Lepisosteus oculatus: one gene and its partner. The protein of the gene in region 1 purifies or fractionates together with the protein of each later gene. This does not show direct contact. Links are inferred from orthologs where the notes say so. Each region holds a gene or a part of one and is shown on either strand. Other genes may lie near its edges.

Region 1 (7,241 bases):
TTCCTTCCCCAGGGGGAGCGTCTGAGCCGCTTCGGCTTCCGCAGTGAGACCACTGGCCGTGTGACCTTTGCCCTGCACTGCATTCAGCACTCAAGGTGAGGGGTGAGGGTCCGCTGTGGGCACCGGCTCCTGTGTCACTCACGACACCGGAGCGTCTGGTGTTTATGAAGAGGATGCACTCATTTAAATCCAAAACAAATCGTTTGGGAGGGGAGCAGAACTTTGAAATTCAGGGTTGTCTGATTTGTGTAAAGTGGGGGAATCAAATAAATGAGTTGACCCCAAGGTCGTGACCTGACATCCAGTCCCCACGCACCCCCATCTGATGAGTGACTGCATGAACCCCTCTGGGAATCGGGCTGTTCATCCCCAGATTATGCAAAACATATGCAAATATTTACTGTAAAGGAAGATGTTGATGTCCAACTCTGCACATTATAAATGACTTAAGGAGAACTGCACAAGTAAGAATGTGCAGTATAGATTATGGAATAGATTCCAAAAGGCTGAACAAGCTCATCAGGAGAGCGAGCTCTGTCATTGGGTCTGACCTGGACCCCTTGGAGGTAGTGGCTGAGAGGAGAATGATGTCCAAACTGGAGGCCATCATGGACAACTTCTCCCATCCCCTCTATGACAGGCTTGCAGGAATGAAGAGCACGTTCAGCAATAGACTGATTCATCCACGGTGCGACAGGGAGCGCTACAGGAGGTCATTCTTGCCGTCTGCCATAAGACTGTACAACGCATCCACCTTGCGTCTTGGCAGAGGCAACAGCGACAGTGACCTGTTTCTGGACTAAACGCATATACACATATACTGCTACATCTGTTCTCTTTCTTTTTCTTTTTCTTTTTCCCGTTTACAACCACTTTTGTGCAATATATGCCAGGGACCTGTGCAATACATTTATATTTATATTTATATCTATGGTTACATCTATATTTATATTCATACGTGTGATACGATTTTCTGTGTACTGTTCTGTTCTAGTTTCCTCTTGTGTGTCCGGACTGTGAGTAACTCTTGTATTGTATTGTATGTATTGTACTATTAGTATATAATTCGTTACACTGTGGCTGTGTTGTGTGTGTTAAGCTGCTGTTGCACTGCAATTTCCCTCACGGGATCAATAAAGTATCTATCTATCTATCTATCTAATGTGTCATAAATATAAAGCAAAGGTATCACATAATTATTGTTGGTCTTTATCTTACAAGATGATTTAAGGAGAACTGAAAACCCTGCTGAATTCTGATCAATGATGACTCTCGAGCTAGAAAAAAACATTTTTAAAATAAAAAGGAAAATGTGTTGCAGCAGGGCTTTCTTAATCAGAAATCAAAGTATAGAAGCATTCTTCCTGTTGTTGTCTCTCCACATCACAGGGCTTTTATTGATGCCAGTGCTCTGAGGAAGAGGAGGCAGAGTGTCCTGGACCAGCTGGGAGGGTTCAGCCAGCAGGGCTCCATCTACAATGTGCTGGGTAAGACACTGGCTCAGACTTACACACCCCTGCAGTTCTCTGTACCCTCCTTGCCCACACCTGGTGAGAGAATTTCACTCCGAGAACAAAAGTGTTCAACAAAAGAATTAAAATCAAGGGAAGTAAAATTTTAAAATGCACTAAAGAGATGTGGAAGTGCATTCAAAAGCTAAAACAGAAGGCGCTTCTTTACCCTAAGGCTTGTGGGAATAGGTAACAAGTTACCCAGCCATGCTGTTGGAGCTCCAGGGGTGCTGTACAATGGCTGCGCTCTGACCCCAAGCTTCTCTCCCTTTCTGTGTGTGTCTCATGGAGAGCAAGCTGGGGTATGCGAAAAGACAAATTCCTAATGCAAGAAATTGTTTATGGACAATAAAGTGATCTTTTCTCTCTTATGTCTTCAGACTATGGAAGGAAACCCACATGAACATTGGGGAGAACATGCAAACTCCACACAGACCGCACCCGTTCAATAATTAAACCCAGGGCCCTAGCACTGCGAGGCAGCAAGGCTAACCACTTCACCCTGCTGTCCATAATTAGATCTATTCAGTCAATCATGACCTTGAAGTGGAATACAAAGCAATAATACTGATAGCCCACCAGGAACTGAGTATGACACCCCTTCCTTATGATGACAGATTTTTTGCTTTACAGGCAGGTACAGTCTGCTGTTTTTTGAGCAATCTACCTGGGTTTCTTTGTGAAAATGCAAGCTGATAGGGTGAATGATCTTTCCTAACCATAACACGTCCATAGTCCATTATGCTCAGAGGGAGAAACGAGAGGTTGAATTCCAGATTCCTTGGATACCGGCCTGCAAAGTACTAGACTTCAGACACGCCCTTTCTTTGGGGTGGGGCCTGGACTCTTCGACCTGGGTGCTAGTTTCATTAATGACCATTTCAGCTACTGTGATTTCTGTCAGAAAAACCTTGGTGTGCTCCTGAGCAATAAAAGTGACCGGTGTAATTAAGAGTACAATCTTAATCACTTTCTCTGCTCTTCCCAGAGGCGTTTCAGAGGGCCCGGAGACGAATGCAGGAGGCTAGGGAGAGCCTTCCCAGTGACCTCATTAACACCACAGCGCCCCCTGCCTCTGAGTCCACTGCATAGAATCAGCACGGGGAACATGTATGCAGCTCTCACAGAAGGCCCGGGAAACATGCTTTCAGTCCTCCTACAGATCACCTTGAGAGATATGCTCAATTAGTAAATCTACAGAAAAAGGCAAAGAGAGCATTGAAATGCCATGAAATTATTTTTACGAGACACTTTGATATTGAATTTGAAATATTTTATAGTAATTGATATCTACTCTGTAATTAATCTGTGTATGGTATTATGTACTGGTATTAAATGAATTTGGATTGGAGAGTATTTTTATACTGTTTGTATTGTAATTGTTTTATATGGAAAATTGTAAATAAAGTTTATTTGCTGTTTTATTTAAGCCATATTTTATAAGATTGAAACCAGAGTTCACTTTCTCTTTTTTATATTTTATTGCACTATTTTTCTGAAATGCTCATCACAGCATCAGTGTTACAACTGGTCACATGATATCCTCAGGGATATCTTGAGGATCTGGGTCCGTGTTGAGGCATTGAGTCTCAATGACTTTTTAACTGGTAGGACTTTTTCCTATTGGCCTGTGCAAATCATGGCCTCCTAATAATCCCCATCTATGAATTGACTTCATTACTCTGCTCTCTTCCCTGCTGATTGCTTATGTGTGGTGAGCGTTCTGGTGCACCATGGCTGCCATCACATCATCCAGGTGGGGCTGCACACTGGTGGTGGTGGAGGGGATCCACATTACCTGTAAAGCGCTTTGAGTGGAGTGTCCAGAAAAGCGGTATATAAGTGTAAGCAATTATTATATAAAAATGTGTGAATGTACTGTGAGTGAAACATCACAATGACACCTATTCCAAGAACACTACTTTCACTGGGACAAGGTTCAACAAAAGCAAGGTCCTTGCAGAGAGGCAATATGACGACCTGTAGAACCCGGTGCTCGAGGGGAATTATTTGTGAGCGTTTTACTCTCAGGGTCCAGGTTTCAGCCACATCAGATGCTGAACACTTATCTGACGCTTGGATGGGGTTTTCTTAGACTCCTAGGACTAGGGGAATCTCATTCCAGGGCTATCCATCCAAATCACCACACCCTCGGCACTGAGATAGCACTGGGAAGTCAGGGGTCTGGACTGGAAACGGCAAGGCTGTAGGCTCGGCTCTCAGGCTGCGTAAAAGATGTTACACACGCCATTTGCTTTGGATTAGACTAGTGTCAGTCAAATAATTACTTTTAATAGCCGTCTGCATGGCGCGGGACGATGCATTAAACTTGGACTTAATTCTATCTTTCCACTTTACAATAATAAAATGCAGGCCTATCGTCAAAAAATAAACTGAAAGTAAGTAACCGAAGATCCAGCAAAGCTGTTACATACGCAGAAACTACTGTTAAATAGAAGTGTCTCGAATACACAAAAGTATCTAACAGCGGTGTTTAATAAACAACAATGGATGATAATAATCGTTTTCTCTCCCTTAGTCCAAATACGCTGCAGCTGCAGGCTGGGATGTGACCATTTCTCTGCCCCCGTCCGTCTCTAAGCGCTCGCAGCGCTGCGCTTTGTTACCGAGCGCCAGCCTGCGGATCCGCGCATAATGGCGCAGCCAGACCTACTTTCGAAACCGCCCGGACACCGTCGCGGAATATTCACGAAAACAACCACCAAAAATCACTCATAACGGAGGGGAGCGAATAGAATTGCCGCTCGGCACAATTAAACAAAACAGAGCGAGGCAATTTATTGATTTATTTATTTTATGCCACCGCTTGACCTTTAACCCTGCGCTTCAACCTAACACCACATCCTCCTCGGGGACGGGGGAGGGCTGCGGGGGGGCGTGGCTGCACTTAATGGACAGCAGGAGCGCCAATGGGCCGGCGCGGCCGTGCTCGAGACGGCGTGGGCAGCCAATGAGCAGGAAGGGACACGGGGGCGGGATCAAGCCGAGCCTGCTGCCGGGGTAACGGAGTTTTTTTGGGGTTGCCGGCGGAGTCGGATCTCCCGCCATTTTTCAATAAGGATTTCACCCTGTTGTTTGTTTTCGCACCTGCTTTATTGTCGCTCACCTTCCCCCTGCACGTCAGGTGAACGGCGAGCCGGGAGCGCCAGAGAGCGGTGTTGTCCTGCGGCGAGAAGCGAGCCGGGAGAAGGCGCGACAGACCCCCGTCTGCGTCCCTGTCTCCGGGAGAGCCCGTCTCCATCCTCAGCCGCACACAGCGGGATCTCCGCGGCCAGGAGGCCAATCACATTTCCCGGCCCGGGCTCCATCGCCGCTCCCCATCCCCGCGCAGACCAGGAGGATGCCGGCGCCGGCTGCCTGAGCCAGCCAGCCAGCCGCAGACGGGCCGGCGAGCCGGCGGGGGAGCCGGTGTGTGACCGTGGCGCCGGGCGAGCCGAGCCTCCTGCATGCCCTACGCGCGGGGTCCCCGGAGCCGCTGTGTGATCCTGCAGTCTGGACTTCATGCGAAGGGCCTCCCCGCTCTCTGTGCGGGATTTCGGACAGCTGCCTGAGCCGAGGAGCTTCTTTCGTCGCCCGTCCGCGCTCCTGTCGCCGGCCCGATGGCACCGCTGCTGGGCCGGAAGCCCTACCCGCTGGTGAAGCCGCTGGCGGAGCCGCCAGGCCCCGAGGAGCTGGTCTACACCATCGAGCACACGAAGGAGGCCTTCAGGAACAAAGAGTATCCTTCCCTTGCCCGCCCCGGGCCTGTCCGCAGCGGCCGGCGCCGGGTGTGCTTGATCCGTGCCCGGGGTCCGGGAGCTCCTCCCCGGCCGCTGAGCCTCTTTGTCCGCCGACAACAACAGGGCTCCCCCGCCGCCTCCGCTCTTCGCGCCGGCTTTTGTTCCGATCGGGGTCTCGCTGGCTGGCCGGGGGTGGGGGGGGGTCCGGGTTTTGACTGTGTGGCTCAACATGTGCTCGTTTGCGGCGGGGTTGCACATGTGCGCGTCTCGGCTGAGACAAAGGAAGTTGCCCGGTGAGGCGCGCAGGGCGGCGGGCTGACAGCGCTGACAGGCGCCGCGGCGGGGCCGCCCGGCCGTTTCCTCGGCGCACAGCTGAGGCGTGAAGCTCGGCTGCGGGCGTTATTGGCAGATTGGCGGCGTTTTATTCTGGGATCGCAGGCGGTGGCAGAGTCGCTCTGATGCGTCCGGCGATTGCAGTCTCCTCTTGGCACTGACGTGTGCGCCTCGCTGCTGGAGTCGGAAGAGGTTTCACACGGTCGGCTGTCCGGGCAGGTGGGGGAGTCCGGCTCGCAGACTCCTCCGATCACATCCGTGATGGTGTTCACAGGCGGGGGCGGACAGCAGCCAGCCTATCCTCAGCCCCACTCCGTGACACGGTGTTTGGAGTGTTTCACAAAATCCCGACCCCCGGGAGTCATTGATCATGTCTCGCAGCTCCAGCGATCAGGAGCCACCGGCTGGTTTCCCTTTCGTGTCGGTGTGCATGTGCCCCAGTCCCGGGGTGAGCGGCGTGGTGTCACCGGGGGCACTGACTGGCACGCCAGCTGCTCAGTGGCTGTGCTGACCCTGCCCGCTGGCGCTGGGGGAGAGAGGGGTGACCGTGGGCAGGGTGGCGACTCCAGAGCCTGGGTGGGCAGTTGTTCTCCCGGGCTGGAGCTGTGCCCCCTGTTGCGCCTCAGCCTGGTGCCCCGCCGGCTGGGGGGGTGCTGCACCCTGTGTCTCTTGCCGGGTGGAAAGCTGCGCTGTGTGGCGATTGTGTGGGTGATGGAGGGGTGCAGAGCTCCGCTGGCCCCAGGCCCGGGTGTCATTGCTGTGCTGGGCCTGGCCCCGTGACCTTGTGCGAAGCGGCTCGTCGGTGGGATCTGCTCTCTGGAGGGTGATCGCGGCCGGCGGAAAAATCTTATTTTCTTAGACATAGAATGTTTCTTTTTTAGGCTTTTAAGCCTGATTACTCAGAAAATTGACCTACTAGTACAGTCACCAGTAAAACACCTCAGGCTTGGTTATATGTGTTGCACTAATGCTGCAAAATAACGCTCTGGACTGTGGAATTGTGATTTCGGGTAAACTCGCTGTAAACTCAGGAACTGAATCTGACACCTTGTAATAGTTTCATTATTCATAGCTGACACCAGTGTTTGATTTCATGAGCTCTAGGTTCTTATGGTAGAAGTTCTACCTATCAGATATAAAAATTAATGTACGCTTATTGTTTTGAATTCATTAATCTTTCACTATTGAATATCTGGAATAAGCTTTAAATGCAGCATTCTCTCCTGCTCATGTAGCGCCTGCCGCTGTGAAGTCACGCTGCGCTGTTGTCCTGAGTTGCGTCCACACCCATGTATTGTTCCAGTACTTAAAAGTACTCATTTTCAAACAGGGGAAAAAATCTTTGACGTCTGTCCTTTTTGTTCCTCTTTTCTAAATCATTGAGCCAGATACGTTAATTCTCATTTTCCTAGATGGCCTGGGCAGTTACCTTTCTAAGCAGCAGGGTTTTAACTAGAGAAAGAGTGACACCTCTCCTGGGATTTGAACCCGCAACCTCCTGGTCTGGAGTCCACTCCCCCACGCTGCTTGGCCTGTGTTGTCACCCGTCCCTCTGAAACCGTGCACTTCCTCCAGTATGGGGGAGGAGGGTGTAGGATTACTCGAGATTTCTATCTTTTGCAAATGTTATCCATGGGGTTATGTTTTATAGTTAGAA
Region 2 (7,864 bases), about 11 Mb from region 1:
TTGTTTTTTTTATCACTTCAAATAATATGTAGTTGAAAGCAGACTCTTAAGTTGATGTTAAAATACTCCATCGGGTTTGTGATCAGATCCCACAGTCCATCCGTTTTCTAAACACTTCATCCAATTTAGGGTCACATGGGAACCAGAGCACACAGGCGCAAGGTGGGGTACACCCTGGGAGGGAGGCCAGTCCATCACAGGGCAGTCAGACACATCAGGACCAATTACTCCCTGAAGACAAAGACCCTACCAACATTTCTTTGGACTGGGGGAGGACACCCACACAAACACAAAGAGAACATACAAACTCCACACAGACAGCACCCCAGGAACTGAACCCAGGGCCCCAGCGCCGTGCGGCTCGTCCCCCAGTCTACTGGACAATTAAACCAGCCCGCCAGGTGGCCGGCCATGAGGTCTCCGGTCCTCAGGGCCCAGAGTCCAGCAGGTGTTCTGCGTCCTTAGTGTGTAGAAACAGTTCATCTCCTGTGAGGAGGGTTGGGCCCCCTCACAGGAGTGTGTCTTTACCCGTTCGGTCAGAGAGACACACAGCACCAGCTGGATTCTGCACCCCAGTGGTCTAGAGGGGGGACCCCTGTTCTAGGCCTCTGCTAATTCTCCTGGGAGCATCCCAACAGAGGAACGTTCAGAGAAAAATTCAACACCAGCTTTCACCAACCACATATAAAATGTCTAAGACATTCAGAATGTTTTTCTTTATATATTTTTCATACAAAAACTTAATACCCTTATTCATTTATTCTTTTTTTGAATTGTATAATGTTAGCATGCCAGAGGGGTTGGACAGCCAGTTGACCCTGGACCCCTGGAGGTTTTTTTTCTCCTTACTGAGGAGTTTTTGGTTCCTCTCCTCCGTTGTCTTCTGGTCTTTTCTGTTCTGTATTCACAATACGTCTGGTCACTTGCTTTGTTAAGCACCTTCGGGCAACCTTGTTGTGAAAGGCGCTATATGGCGGTATATGGGCAGAGCAATTGCACCCCGGCTCAGGATCTGCGCCTGTGGCTGGAAGGTTGCCGGTTCAAATCCCGCAGCCGGCAGAGGAATCCTACTCCGTTGGGCCCCTGAGCAAGGCCCTTAACCCCAACTGCTCCAGGGGCACCATATAAATGGCTGACCCTGCGCTCTGACCCCCAGCTTCTCTCCCTGTCTGTGTGTCTCATGGAGAGCAAGTTGGGGTATGCAAAAAGACAAATTCCTGATGCGAGAAATTGTATATGGCCAATAAAGTGATCTGATCTTATATAAAAATAAACTTAAGTGAATTGAATACAAAAGATTCCATCCTCCCCCCCACACACACACCACTGGCTCCTGTCACTGGGTCACAGCACAGGGGTATTGAACAGGAAGCCCACTCTCACTGGCCAGCGCCGCCCCAGAGCCACAGGAAGGCTGCCCAGAAACGGCAGCTTCCTGAGAGCCAGATCCTGGCAGAGGCGCCCTCTACAGTCTTTCCAGCCACACCCAAACTGGGGGCTTCCTGCACAGACCCAGGTTAGTCCCAGGGACGAGCTCGTGCTGAAACCCACAGGACTCTATTTGCATATATAGACAAGAAATCAACTAATGTCTGTCTATATGTGTGTGCTGGTGGCAAGAAATAAAAATTGGCACCAAAACAAAAAGAGAAGTTTCTACTGCTTCGGCAGCAGGATGGAAATGCTTAATCAGATCATCAGTGTATCTGCGCAGATCACTTCTGCTTTCTGCTTTTCTGCTCCTCTCTGCTTTTTGGCTTCTAGGGTAGTGTGTCCGGTGTCCTGTGTCTCTGGCAGAAAGGTCTCAGCTGTGTCGTGGAGTCAGGTCAGTCGTGTTTAAAAAGTGTGGGTCAGGATCGTCATGCACAGCAGCTCTTTCCAGCTCTGAACCCAATCTTCAAAGTTTGTCTGCACTGAAACAAGCTCACATTTCCCACTGAAATTCTAGTATAAAGAGTGGCGGTGATATTATTCATCAAAATTGTAGTCTGTGTTTCAGTTAAAAGTGCATTTCTTTGTATTTATTTCTATGTATTTTAGAATCATGTGGTGTGCTGTAAAACACTTAGGATGTTAAACGTGTGCTGTGAGCTGGAAAGTTTGGGAAGCACTGTGCTAGACTTTGTCCCACTGGCCCTTGACCTTTGAAGTATTTCTGCAGATCTCCTGTGTTTCTTCACTCTTCCCCATGCGTGCCTGCAGTGCTCTGGAAGATATTCGGCTCAGTATCATGTCTCTGTCTCGCTAGGGTACTGGGACCAAGCTCACATGACCAGGGACGTAGCCAATGCATTGAGATTTTATCTGGACTGTGCACAATGTTGCTAAACAGCTGGCTGGACTGTACTTCACTAGTTTTTTAACAATTCTTTTATTTTGATTAATTTAAAATGCAAACCCAGCAGGGGAGAAAACACAGAAACAATGACAGAACACAACTAGACACATCATCCAGCGATACACAATGTACATTACGGTCTTTCAGTCACAAACCGAAGGAAACTTGACTAGTGTTGGATTATCACAGATCTCCAGCACAATATCCAATTCATTATTCTCTCCTCTGCTAACCCTGCCCTTGGGTTTGCAAAAAAAAAGCCATTTAATTTCTGTTTAATCTTTCAGCAAGACATCTCTCTGTGTTCCAACCATATTTTATGTCGTTTTTTGCATATTTCAACATCCAAACATCAGACCGAATCAAAGAAAGCAAAAAATCCTTCTCACCTTGATGCAGTTACTGCAGAAACATTCCCCATTCTTCCCAGGAGGCAGAATAATCTCCCCAGTCGGAATTAGTTGGATTTTCAGCTCCATCTTTCCCCTAGTGCCAGCTGGAAAGACTGGGCGTTCAGACGTATCCGACCCCAGAAAAGCTCTAATGCTGGAGAAGGAGAGAGGAGACTCCAGAAGCTGGTCTGGCTCAGCTGTGCACTGGGAGGAACTGAAGGGGAGTCTTTGTTTCTTGAGAGAGAGGAGGGAAAGAGCTGTGGTACCTGGATGGGGTGGAGGATGAAGTGCGCACTTCCACAACGAGGCGGGAGAGCACATCCAGGGTGTCAAGTCCTGTTCCAAACGCGCTGTAATTGATGTTCTCCTGCAGAGCCTTGAAGCTGTGGGGGTCACGTCAGGGCTTCCTTAAAGACTTTCTGAAAGCTGCTGTATCCTGCTCTGGGCTCCAAACATAAATAAAGAGGGCGAACGTTTCCCTTGGAAAACAAGAAGGAGGCTGTTTTGTTTTCTTTTCTTTCTCTTTTTAAACACCAACTGAGCACTGAGCAGCCGGGAGAGGGCGGCTGAGTGCCGCAGCGAATCCTGGGCCTGCCCCCTGCCTGTCGACTGGCTTGAAATCGGATAACTTTTACACCGGGGCGAAGACAAGGAGAAGACAAGGAAACCCTAACCAGGCTGCCCCCATGCTGGAGGCCTCTCAAACCCCCAAAAAACTGGACACTGGGTGGACAGGGCTCAGCATCGCTGAAGCTGGACACAGTGGGCCCTGTACCCTGGTCTTCCAACAAGTTGGCTTCTCTGAAATCCCTGTGGTGAATCATTGCTTCTCTTCTTGCGAGTCTCTCTTGGTACCCTGAAATTTGTGTCAAGCTTCTTGTCTCCTTGGGGGCTCCTCCACTGGGTCCACTAGGGTGGCCAAAGGTTGGGGCGTGGGCAATTTGTCACGAAGCGTTTTTTCAGGACCCTATGCAGACGGCAGAATCCGGAGGGGAGTGAGACAAACATGGGGAAAAAAGACTGGGATCGGGGCTGGAAGAAGAACAGGGGGGCATGTCAACGGTGCACTGGTGCTCGGGGGGGGGGGGGGGGGGGGGCAAACCAAGGCAAACAAGTCCAAAGGGGGTCCGAAGGGAAATCCAGAGAATGCAAGAGTCTTGAGCCGGGTTATCCAAACCAAGGCAGCCATGACAGAAGTTAAAAGCCGGAGCTGGATCCGGCGAAGGGTCGGGGGATTAAAAACGAGGAACGTGGCCAGGCGCTCCCAGCCCCGGACCCAGACGGTCAGGTCGCCGTTGTGAAGCCAATGCCATCGTGGCACTCCTGGACTCGCTGGTAGGTAGGCTTCCGGGCGTCCATCTTCCAAAGCTGAGCCCGGAATGGTGGGAGCGTCTGGCTTTTGTAGGGAAGGGCTGGAACAGGAGGCAGGTGCAAAAAATCAAGAGAAACAAGAAAGAGCTGGGGCATCCTTAAGAGGAGGGGCTTACGATTGTGACACAATTAGTAAGGAAAGGCTTAAAAGACGAGGAAGATGTGCACTCCCTGCAGTGATGTCAGTAATTTATATGAATGCATACAAGAGTGGGACATGTGCAGAGAAAAGGAAATCTGCACACAAATAATGCTGGGAATACTACTCCAGAAGTCAAACACAGTCTCTGGTGAGTTTCCTCTTCCTTGGTGGCTGTGTGCGACCTGAAGTGGTGGAAGTGGTCTTTCTCGAAAAGGTTTAATTCCTTTTTCGGTTGGCTGTCCGTGCTATAGTGAAACATTAAAGCTCTCCTCCTTCCTCTCTGTGGGAGTGCTGTGGTCTAGAGAGATGCCAGGCCATCGTGTGTGAAGGATGAAGCGAGTGACTCGACTGCGGACCCTGACAGGGGCAGTAAAGGACGCCGGAGTGGTATCTGGTCCTGCACGAATCAGGCAGGCCGGGGGGTGTCCAGCATGGACTCACGATGGGGCAGGACTGGAGTCCCACACGGGAGCTGGCCAGGGCATCTTCAGCCCCTGTTTTCAGGCAGACAAGCTGGCTCTGCTCTCGACACCATGGGGATCGCTGTCCGAGAATCAAGCGTGACTCCTCAGCCCAGATGACACCGAGCTGAGGGGGCTGAGTGAGCCCAGCAGACACAGAACTGAGGAGGCTGAGTGAGCCAGGCGGGAGACACGGAGCTGAGGGGGCTGAGTGAGCCCAGCCGACACGGAGCTGAGGAGGCTGAGTGAGCCCAGGTGACACAGAACTGAGGAGGCTGAGTGAGCCCAGCTGTCACGGAGCTGAGGAGGCTGAGTGAGCCCAGCCGACACAGAGCTGAGGAGGCTGAGTGAGCCCAGGTGACACAGAACTGAGGAGGCTGAGTGAGCCCAGCTGTCACGGAGCTGAGGAGGCTGAGTGAGCCCAGCCGAACCGGAGCTGAGGAGGCTGAGTGAGCCCAGGTGACACGGAGGTGAGGAGGCTGAGTGAGGCAGGCGGGAGACACGGAGCTGAGGAGGCTGAGTGAGCCAGGCAGGAGACACGGAGCTGAGGAGGCTGAGCGAGCCCAGCCGTCACGGAGCTGAGGAGGCTGAGTGAGCCCAGGTGACACGGAGGTGAGGAGGCTGAGTGAGGCAGGCGGGAGACACGGAGCTGAGGAGGCTGAGTGAGCCCAGCCGACACGGAGGTGAGGAGGCTGAGTGAGGCAGGCGGGAGACACGGAGCTGAGGAGGCTGAGTGAGCCAGGCGGGAGACACGGAGGTGAGGAGGCTGAGTGAGCCAGGCAGGAGACATGGAGGTGAGGAGGCTGAGTGAGCCAGGTGTGCTGGATCCCCACTTAGGCCACACAGGCACACGGGCACATAGGGACAAGGGCACATGGGCACACGAGTGCTCATCATCACACAGAGTCGGGCCTCATGGCGATTGGCAGAGGGCTCTGCTCTGTGTGTGTCTGCACCGAGCTGCAGGGCGGGACAGCTCCCAGCAGGAGGAGAAGGAACTGGATGCACATCCTTTGAACTCTGACCGTGCAGGAGAGGGGCAGTCTTGCTGGGCATCAACAGGAAGCACAGCCCAAGGCTTCCAGCACAAACCTGGCCTGAAAAAAAACAACAAGTTTTTGTCCTCTCACTTCTTTGCAGCTAACTTTACATTAATTTCCTACGGAGTAAGAAACAACAAGCAAAGCAGGACTGCGGTATTTCCTCTAGCAGTGTCTGGGAAAACATCCTCTGACATTTACAGCCCAGAGCCTCGCGCAGCCCACCGTCGAGGTGCTATTTAGGCTTCCTGTGTTACTGTGTTACCAGTGTGCTGAGGGTACGGGCCCGGGCTGGACAGGGAGGGACGCAAACGGATTTCCCACTGTGGCAAAAGCTTGATTAATTGCAGTTTCTTGCTGTTCTGACAGAAAGAGAACCGTCACGTCGCATGGACAGGAAGGAGGCGGCAGGAGACACAGACACCGGGTTAGCGGCTCTGTCAGTGATCCTCTGTGCTTGAGAATGTCCTTCCCACTGTGGACATTTGTCTTGGGCTTCTCCCATCAAGTACAAGTACAAAACACACACGCAAAACATAAAAGTCACATAACATCCCATGAACTGCATGAAATCACAACAAGAGTATATAATAGATTTATTTATAAGAAATGTATAAATAAATAGGTAGTGAGAGAAACAACATTTACATACATTCATTGCGATTTTTTATTGCAATTTCACAGTTTAGAAATGCCTTAAATACCACATACCTTAATGACAGGTTCAGATGCTAATGGAAGATCTCTGGAATTGGTTTTACACGAACAAAACAGGAAAAAATGAAGGCATTCTGACGGAATGCACATTATGTAGTTGAAAACACGGCGGAAATGAACCGACCCGAACTGGGTCAGCTCGCCAGCTCGTCTTCCTCGCGAGGTTCTGATGTCGCCGCCGGTACAGCGGCGCTGGACTGTCCGGAGGAAATGGTCAAAACAAGTTTACTGGACATCGGAAACACGCTGATGTGGATTTAAAATAACCTAAAGAAAAAAAACCTACAAAGCACTAAAGGTGGTCATATCTGTCAATCCCAATCTGAACCGGGCCTCACAGCTCATGGCACGCGTGGACAAACTAGAGATCTCCACGCAAGCTGATCAGCCTGGCAAAGGCTCCACGCGTGACGTGTTCTGAGATCTGTTCATGTGAGAGGGCCAACAAGAGGCTGCCAAACAGGCTGCTGATCTATTAAAAATGCTGCCGTGCTCCGTGATTTATCAAATCAAAATAAAACTAATATTCCAATTTAATACGAGTAAATATGGGGCGAAAACGTGTTTTCCTCGTTAAAGCTACGTTCCACCTTATGAACGAGAAACCTACGCAAAAACGCTTTAAGCGCTATGAGAAGTCACCTTTAAAGGCGCTATTTAAAACAATGATGATTGTTATTGTTATGAATTAGCCTCCAGTCTCCTATCCGAGCAGCAACTGGTTTCCTAACTGTGTTCCTAATTCTAAGTTAATGCTTCAGTGTTTCGCTTCTTGTCGTGGCGTGTGAGGCACCACAGCAGCCCCCGGCCCATCTCCGTCCTGTCCGGCAACAAGTGGGTCACGAACTCCTTCAGCTCAAGAGTTTACAGCGGCGACAAGGACCCTTGGCCGACCTTCAGCTAGATGTCGTTTATAAAACAAAAAAGCGTCCCAAGCCTCGCACGGGGCCGTCCACTCGCGCGGAGCAAGGGGGCTCTCCTGTAGAGTCTTCCTCACCCCCCCGACAGGCAGCCGCGACAAAAACACGGAAACCCCGACCTGCTCAGATTCAGGGCTCCCTGCAATGCCGGGAGTCTGCCGACCCCTGGTGGTTGATGTAACTGTATTCCCTACTGCCGGCGACTTGTAGCAAAAGCGCCGCGTTTAAATGATCATCACGTTATTAACAGTCAGTTCATCTCACAAGAACCCCAGAGGACCTCTCCAGTCAAAGCAAGCGCAGTGTTAATACACACTCTGCTGCCTTATATAGTATATTAGTGTAGAGGCTCAACTGCCGCTTAGAGAAGCCATGTAGCACGTACCCAGACATCAGGGCGAGTAATGCTTTAGCTGTCGCACGGTCCTCTAGGGATCCTGCAGATGCGCACAGTGCCCTGTGTTTGTACCCAGGCGGTGGGCT

What was found. Proteins that work in one complex are often made in the same cells at the same time.
Region 2: the proteins of baz1b (region 1) and myo1cb purify together in Homo sapiens (affinity purification with western blotting; 3 studies listed by BioGRID, with this or other methods). This does not show direct contact. The link is inferred for Lepisosteus oculatus from reciprocal best matches to the Homo sapiens genes BAZ1B and MYO1C.

Annotation. Positions count from the first base shown.
Region 1 is NC_090721.1:440,684-447,924, reverse strand, and holds the start of baz1b (tyrosine-protein kinase BAZ1B), read left to right. Parts: upstream 1-4,180; 5' UTR 4,181-5,131; coding exon 5,132-5,250; intron 5,251-7,241. Other genes in the region: tectonic-like complex member MKS1, read left to right, coding at 13-95, 1,390-1,487, 2,500-2,603. UniProt on the Homo sapiens protein: Atypical tyrosine-protein kinase that plays a central role in chromatin remodeling and acts as a transcription regulator. Involved in DNA damage response by phosphorylating 'Tyr-142' of histone H2AX (H2AXY142ph).
Region 2 is NC_090721.1:11,143,804-11,151,667, reverse strand, and holds the start of myo1cb (myosin Ic, paralog b), read right to left. Parts: upstream 3,052-7,864; coding exon 2,728-3,051; intron 1-2,727.